2 linked regions of the Danio rerio genome follow. The protein of the gene in region 2 binds, or shares a complex with, the protein of the main gene of each other region. Links are inferred from orthologs where the notes say so. Each region holds a gene or a part of one and is shown on either strand. Other genes may lie near its edges.

Region 1 (3,682 bases), on a different chromosome or scaffold from region 2:
GACTAGAAAAAAATGTCCTTGTAGAACTCATAATTACAACTTAACTGTTAACCTGTTAACTGGTGATTTTCTGAGAGCTGTACCATGTTTACAAATTTCACCTTATTGCTTCCAATGTATTTAGGCATTGATAGTATTGCCATATAAATTCAACATTCCACGTCTGAGGGAGAGAAAAGAACCAGTAAGAAGATGTGTTGTCTTATAGAAATTGCAGTAATTACTACATGGGATGAGCACATTGTCATGTGACACCACAGCATTATTATATAACTACAACAACTGACAAAATCAGGCACCGCCCCTCTCCTATTTAAAAAGCCATTTCTGTATCTTTTGATTGTGCATCAAAGCAGGAAAGAAAAGATTAATGGACTTTCATTTCAAGATTTTAAAAAGGTTGAACAGATTAAATAATGAGTGTTCATTTATTCATTCATTTTCCTTCGGCTTAGTCCCTTTATTAATCTGGGGTCGCCACAGTGGAATAAACAGCCAACTTATCCAGTATATGTTTTACACAGCAGATGCCATTCCAGCTGCAACCCAGTACTGGGAAACCTCCATACACACTCATTCACACAAATACACTACAGCCAATTTAGTGTATTCAATTCACCTGTACTGCATGTCTTTGGACTGTGGGAGAAACTCAAACCAGTGACCTTTTTGCTGTGAGGCCACCGTGTCGCTCCATAATAAGTATTTACTGTTTTTAATTAGTCATTTTATTTGCGATCACCTATATAAATAAACTCTTAGAATGATTTTGTGTAGTGTTCATGCAATCTGGACTCACTGTGTTGTCATGTATCATGTAACCTGCTAGCCATTCATTTACCTATAATATATGGTAGCAATACCTAATTTCTAATATCTAATTTACATTAGATTAGTCAGTACCAAAGACAAACTGGAGGAGTCATAACAAAATAACATTCCAAGATAACATTCCAAACATTTTTACAGCCAAATTATTGTTAAGGAAATATTTTAAATAACACTTTAAGAAAGAGGAAAATCATGAGAAACTAAAAAATATATCAAATGTAGTTGAAATATTGTAGGCTGTATTTTTTTTCCTCTCAATATTTTGTTTTAATTGAAATGTTATGCACACTCACCGGTCACTTTATTAGGTACACCTTACTAGTACCAGGTTGGACCCCCTTTTGCCTTCAGAATTGCCTTAATCCTTCGTGGCATACATTTAACAAGGTACTGGAAATATTCCTCCGAGATTTTGGTCCATATTGACTTGAAAGCATCACGCATAGCTGCAGATTTGTTGCCTGCACATCCATAATGTGAATCTCTCATTCCACCACATCCCAAAGGTGCTCTATTGCATTTAAATCCGGTGACTGTGGAGGCCATTTGTGTACAGTGGTCAGCAACAATCCTCAGGTAGGCTGTGGTGTTGACATGATGCTCAATATCTTTTTAAAGTAATACTTTATGTACACTTTATAGCTCACAATACATTGTCTGTTTTATTTGTCAGCTATTATATCATTGGTTCTTATTTATTTAACTTCAACGTTCACAACATAACAGTATGTTGCTGGATGATTGCTAGCCTGTTTCGATGGCAAGAACACTGTGGACTTGCTATGGAAACATCCATTGACCACTCAAGGTCTGCTCGGTGTGACTGCATGGGCTGCTTTGTGTATGGAAACAATGGTATTTGTGATTGTCAGATTAAAAGCCAACATTCAGAGGTCGGACCTTGAAAAGTACAGCAGTCTTTGCACACCTTTTCAAAGCTTTTTCTCCATCTGCTCTGCTCTGCATTTTTCACACTTTCTGAGAGAGCACTGACATTGTTTATGCGCATCGGCTTTAACCAGTGATTCAGCTAGTGCTTTCTGAGAAGATCTTTTCAACAAAAAGACTTTGACATATCCTAAAACGAAGTGAAACAAGGCAGCATGATTTCCCAGGACATTCTTTATTATATAACAAACTTACAAAGAGATTGTGGGATTGGTCATTAAAAAGAAAAAGAAGCTCTGAATAGCTTTAATGTTCGTCTATTTTATAGAAGACAAAAAGAAAGGCTGTATCTAGTCAAGAGATAGATTGATAAACAGCCGAGAATGAAGTGTTTTGATCTGCTCCTCTGCTCCCTCCAGTGGTACCCAGAGGTGAGGCATCACTGCCCTTCCACTCCAATTATCCTGGTTGGCACCAAGCTTGACTTGAGAGATGAGAAGGAGACCATCGAGAAGCTGAAGGAGAAGAAACTGGCACCGATCACTTACCCACAGGGTCTCGCATTGGCCAAAGAAATAGGTGAGGTGGCAGAGCTGGATTTGTCCTTTTTGTAACCCTGGATAAAATTACTCATACCACTTTTCTTTTTTTTTCTTTCTTTTTTTCAAATCTTATTGTGTGTGTTTAAATGTTGTCATGCAACAATGATGCATTAAACTAATCAAAACATTACAGGATATTACACTATTACAAATAACTTATTTAGCTAGATAATGTTCTCTAAAACTTTTTTATTTAACAAAGAATCCTGAAAAATATATCTGTTTCATGGTTTCTATCAAAAAAAATTAAGAAAAATTAACAATATTAACAGTTTTAACTATATTAACAATATTAAGAAATATATGGAGTCCTATTTTTTACCATATGTAATAAGTTATGGCTTTTTATCTCAGCATTGTGAATTAAAATATTTTTCAAGAAGAAAATCAGAATTGGGAGATTTAAGCTGACAATTTTGATAAAATAAACATGCATTTAAATAAAAAATCAGAAGTGCAATGACTTTTTTTAAATGATCGATTTCTGAGGTTATTAATATTCTTTTCTAAATTGTGTGAAAAGTCATTATTTCAAGATAAATAAATAAACCTGAATTCTGAGATGCAAATTTATCAGCTCTTTTACAGTTCTGACTTAATTTCCCTTTGTGGAAAAATGGCTTCCAAAGAAATTCATTTATTTTCCTTCGACTTAGTCTCTATTTTAGAGGTTGCCATAGTAGAGGAGTGAACTGCCAGCTATAGACATGCGGCCTCCATTTTAAAAGCAACAGCGATGCTGCAGGGGAAAGAAACCCGGAAGTATCACCTGGAGTCAGACAGGAATGGTGCCTTCGATGGCATATTGTTGAGTACCTCGCTGTATATCTTATTAGCAAAAAAAAGACACAAATTTATCATTTTACCAATTTCCAAGTGAACCGAAGGTTCGTTCTGAATGGATGGTGAAAATAAAAAGGGATATCGGACCTAATTTTCAGCTAAGTTAAGAGAAATGGCACTAGTTAGCTAAAGTTTTTTTTTTCCAAACACATGTTTTAGATGACATTTATCAAGTTCAAGTTAATGAAATAATTAATTCTTTCACTATATTAGACTTTTCACGATACTGAATTTGGGTACTAAAATTTAAATAAAAACGTAAATTTCCCGCTAACATTTAAGCACTGTTGTGCGCGTCTTAAACGCAGATGATTTGCCGTAGATAGTATTCACCAGTGCTCAACAGAAATGACTGTGATTGGCCGTGAAGGTCATCAGTTCACTGGACTTAACAGATGTTTACCAAATGCAAACACAGACGAGTGATCTGCTGATGAATCAACTGATCTTCATGGCTTTAAAACGCTCCAGTGTCCCTGTATCTGTGTTTGCACTCTGTGAAGAGTTGGTGAACTGAT
Region 2 (4,479 bases):
GCGCCATAATTCGCACTGTATTTTTAATATTACAGGTTATACAAAAATATTCAATAAAGCAATACGCCCTCTGGATATTAAAAACAACGTAAATACAAATCTTGGATACAACAGTGCGCTTACAAAAATACATTGATACAGCAATCCTATACTTAAACTTAAAACATCCTATTTTATATAGGCTACTCTAGGAAATGTACATAAAATTACACGTACACAATATTAGACTTTAGAGAGACGTTGGTAATCAAGCATCAAGAGAGATGGGATTGCTTAAAATTATCATTTAGTTTGGGGCTAAGTTACAAATCGCATGTAAATTAATGTCTAATTAGGAACACAGAAAAGTTAGAGCAAAAACAATAGCCAAAATTTAATCTAGAAGTTTGGTGTTACGGTCACGTCATGTGCAATTATACTTGCAAAATAAATAAAATTATGTTTTACTGTGCTTCAAAGTGAAGTTGGAGTAATAAAGGAGTCTATTTAACAATTTGAACGACGTAACATTTTTAATTTAATAAGTTAAAATAATAGTGTTAGGTTATTTAAAAAAGGGTCAATTCAGTTTCAAATAGTATTGTTTGTTAGTAATGTACATTATTATACAAGTTCACTTAGCATACATAAAGTACACTTAAAATACTTGATCTTTAAGTACAATTTATTTGCACCTTATTGGCACACTTTTGAATTCATTCATTCATTTTCTTTTCAGCATAGTCCCTTTATTCATCAGGGGTTGCCACAGCAAAATGAACCGCCAACTTATCCAGCATATATTTTATGCATTGGATGCCCTTCCAGCCACAACCCAACACTAGGAAACGCCCATATAGGACAGCCAATTTATTCATTCATTCATTCCTCTACCTTTCGGCTTAATCTGAGGTCGCCACAGCAGAATGAACGGCCAACTTATCCAGCATATGTTTTACACAGTTTGTTCCTTTCTCTCTGCAACCCAGTACTGGCAATCATCTATACACACTCATTCACACACATACACCATACCCAATTCACCTGTACAACATGTCTTTGGACTGTGGGGGAAACCGGACCACCCGGAGGAAACCCACCTGAACATGGGGAGAACATGCAAACTCCACACAGAAATGCCTACTGACCCAGCCAAGGCTTAAACCCTCAACTTTCTTTCTGTGAGGCGATCGTGCTACCCACTGCGCCACTGTGATGCCACCTTTGAATTCATACAAGCAAAATCATTCTGAAGTCTATTCTTATTGTTTTTTTAAAACAGAAATTGTTCAACCTTGACCTCCTGTTTCTCAGTGCTATAAATATGAGAAAAGGCCATGCTCTATTATGTGAAATTAAGGTGTCAAGAGGTCAAGCTGCATGATCTGTTACAAACATCTGATTTCCCACAAAGGGTTTAAATTTAGGCAGAAGTCTAAAATCAGTTAATCATGGCTTTAAAATCGAAGATATAACAGGGACAATAACTCCACAAATGTGGACTTACTCAACTGGCAAATGCAAATCCAGAAGCAAGTGAAGCTGATCACTTCCTCTCTCAGAGCAGAGGCTGGGGGTTGTTCTCTTTCAGACTGCCTCTGCTCAGTTCACAACAGAGACGAGCAGCATTCATGTGTTCACTGCTCACCGTGTTTTGAGGGAGCATGTCCTTCGTAAGCACCCTTCGCCAGTGGGATGAGGCCGTGGCTTGTGTGGAGCAAAGAGACCCAGACGCTGCTCTCAGGATATTCCTCAGTATCGAGGAGAAAAACTCCAAGATCGCTTTCAACATCGGCTGTCTTTGTCTGAACAACAGTGACTTAGATGAAGCTGAAAAGGTACTCTTGTATGGCTGAATCAATGTTTTATACTACTTGATGTTTGAATTGTATTTTGAAAGTCTAAAATATTTGTGGCTGTAAAAAGGAAGTAAAAGTAGTTTTATTCTTTATGGGAAATGTATTTCTGTTTCACACCTGCAGGCTTTTGATGGAAGCATTGGCAAAGATGAACACCTGGCCGTGGCCTTTTTTCAGAGAGGAGTTACATTTTATAAAAAGGAAAAGTAAGATCATTACCTCTTGTCATGACACTTTAAAGGACAGTTCACCCAAATGTTTCTATTAAACACAAAGGAAGATAAACTGAAGACAGTTGAAAAAAAATCAGCCATTGACTTCCATACTATTTTACTATGGATATGCCTATCGGTTTCTTCAGAACATCTTTTTTTGTGTACAACAGAAGTTTGGAATCACTTGAGCGTGAGTAAATGACGAGAATTTAAATTTAAATTTGGTGAACCATCCTATTAAGTAAACGTTTTATGCTGTTCTGATGGCTCAAGGTACTTAAAAGAGTGGTCTAGAGTGTATTTTTAAGGCTTGGATGTGTTTATAAGAAGCAAAGCAATGTGTGATCATGCTTGATTTGTAGAAAATCACATTATTTTTCATATATCTTAATTATACGCTAATACTCAGCTAACATGAAAATGCCCGCCCTCAAGAGGCTCTGATTGGTCAGCTAACATAATGTGCATAATTTGCAAACCAGGAAAAGCATCACGCCTTTAATACTGCACGCTGTGTCTCTGCTTTGTAAATACTGTCGGTCAGAGCCAAATCAGTTTGAGCCTGAATCAAACAGAAAATGAAGAGGACACAGCAGAACCTTACGCCTGCTCTCTAAAATAAAATCTAACAAGTGTCTTTCACATATATTCAGAATAAGCATGTGTGTAATTAATATGAAACATTTGCATATTTTTTGCAAGTTTGTTATTTCAGATGTAGAACACAGGGAAAGCGTCCACATGGAGTTACACTGTAGCGCTGCAAAAGATTGTGACTGTTTACAGAGATTTGATGGAGAAATATGAATTTGTAGCTAAATTGTTAGCGGTTTACATCCTCACTACAACATAATGTTAACGCTTAAAACTGTGCATGTAATAGATCAGTTTTCTCAAATAAAAACACTTACAGGTTGTGGCTCTCAAACCACAGCTTCTTTGATTATGGTTGGAGCTGCTGGTTGGTTTTTAGCCGAACCAGCACTGAACTGGGAGAGATTCAGGAAGTTCTCCTTTGTCAAATGCTAGAGCTATATATTTTCATAATTTTCTGGAATTCCTTGTGCCGTGTCCTTTGGAAGCTTAAATACAGTAACAGAAGATGCTCTGTGAAAATTGCAGTTATTGGATGGCATTTTATCTCTTTTTGCTGTAACATACAGCGCCTCTGGCCACGCCCATTCGCTCTGCAGGGTAAATGCATGTAACCTGAAGCATTTGTGATCTCACTAACCTGGATTTTATTTTTATTTTTTGTAGTCCTCAAATTTTGTTCAATGTCGGCTTTGCTAAGCTAACTCTGTAAAAGCCAATGTCTCTCTTTGCATTGAGCGTATTACAGTCAGAGATGTTGTTTATGTTCACACAGCTACATTACACATCAATTAAAGTTTAAAATGTGATATAGTAGTGGACCGCCGCTTTAAGAGCCGATCACAAAATATCTCATTCCACTTTTAATAAACTGATGATCCTAACCTTCTCTCCAGGTTTGAAGAGTCTCTTCTGGATTTCCAACAAGCATTTAAGCAGTTACGAGGGAATCAACTAATTGATTACACACCTCTGGGGCTGAGATATAAACTTTATGCTTGTGAGGCAAGTCCAGATATTTTTTCAACTTTACTGACTTATTAATAGTTGTGATGTGAGTGACATTTTACACGTCTCCATTTCTGACTTGATGGTTTTTCACAAGAGTTTTCTCCTATATTGCAACATCTGACATTAACAGTCACCTCAGTTCATTCTCTAAAGCAGTCTTTTTGTCTTGTGTAATATTAAGGTGCTGCACAACATTGGACTGGCACAGGCGCAGTTGGGAAAATGGGAAAAAGCTCAAGAGAACCTTCTCACTGCTCTGAGCTTGAGAGCAGATGCCAAGTTCAGCCATATTGATCATGCGCTGGATGCCATTCTGGTCTGTATCTGCTTAACTTTCATTATCATAAACATGATTATCAGTTGCTAGGACTCATAAATTAAATTCCTGTTTTAATTTACAAGTTGGCCCTGAAAGTCATTGAATTATATGTTGACCTAATACTCTGTGGTTCATCTCAAACGTTTTGGTTGTTATATGAGGCAACGAAAGCTTGTTCTTTCGTAACTTGTCTAAAAAGTGGTTATGTTTGGTTTGTTTCACAATCAGAGGTTCTGGTTAGATTTTGAGGGAAGTTGTGTAAGTTTCAGAAAGGTCAAAATTCACGAGACAGATGATTTATACTCCGATATCCTTACATAAGTCATCCTTCTAGTAAAATGAACATCATTCTTTGTACGCATTTTACAGACAAAGTAAATTGTGAAAGTATGAGTCAAGGAAACACCAGAAAACACAGTAAAAGCAATTAAACAGTGAGGTTATATAGCAACAAAAAATTACTAACATGCAGTGCATTGGGACTTCGTTAATGTTTACAATC

Evidence for each region. The genes of interacting proteins can lie anywhere in the genome.
Region 1: ncf2 (region 2) and rac2 share a complex: the UniProt entries of both Homo sapiens proteins name them as parts of the phagocyte NADPH oxidase complex. The link is inferred for Danio rerio from reciprocal best matches to the Homo sapiens genes NCF2 and RAC2.

What each region holds. Positions count from the first base shown.
Region 1 is NC_133178.1:28,282,583-28,286,264, forward strand, and holds part of rac2 (ras-related C3 botulinum toxin substrate 2), read left to right. Parts: intron 1-2,138; coding exon 2,139-2,298; intron 2,299-3,682. UniProt on the Homo sapiens protein: Plasma membrane-associated small GTPase which cycles between an active GTP-bound and inactive GDP-bound state.
Region 2 is NC_133182.1:41,684,612-41,689,090, reverse strand, and holds the start of ncf2 (neutrophil cytosol factor 2), read left to right. Parts: upstream 1-1,601; 5' UTR 1,602-1,643; coding exon 1,644-1,817; intron 1,818-1,961; coding exon 1,962-2,044; intron 2,045-3,543; coding exon 3,544-3,652; intron 3,653-3,839; coding exon 3,840-3,974; intron 3,975-4,479. UniProt on the Homo sapiens protein: Subunit of the phagocyte NADPH oxidase complex that mediates the transfer of electrons from cytosolic NADPH to O2 to produce the superoxide anion (O2(-)).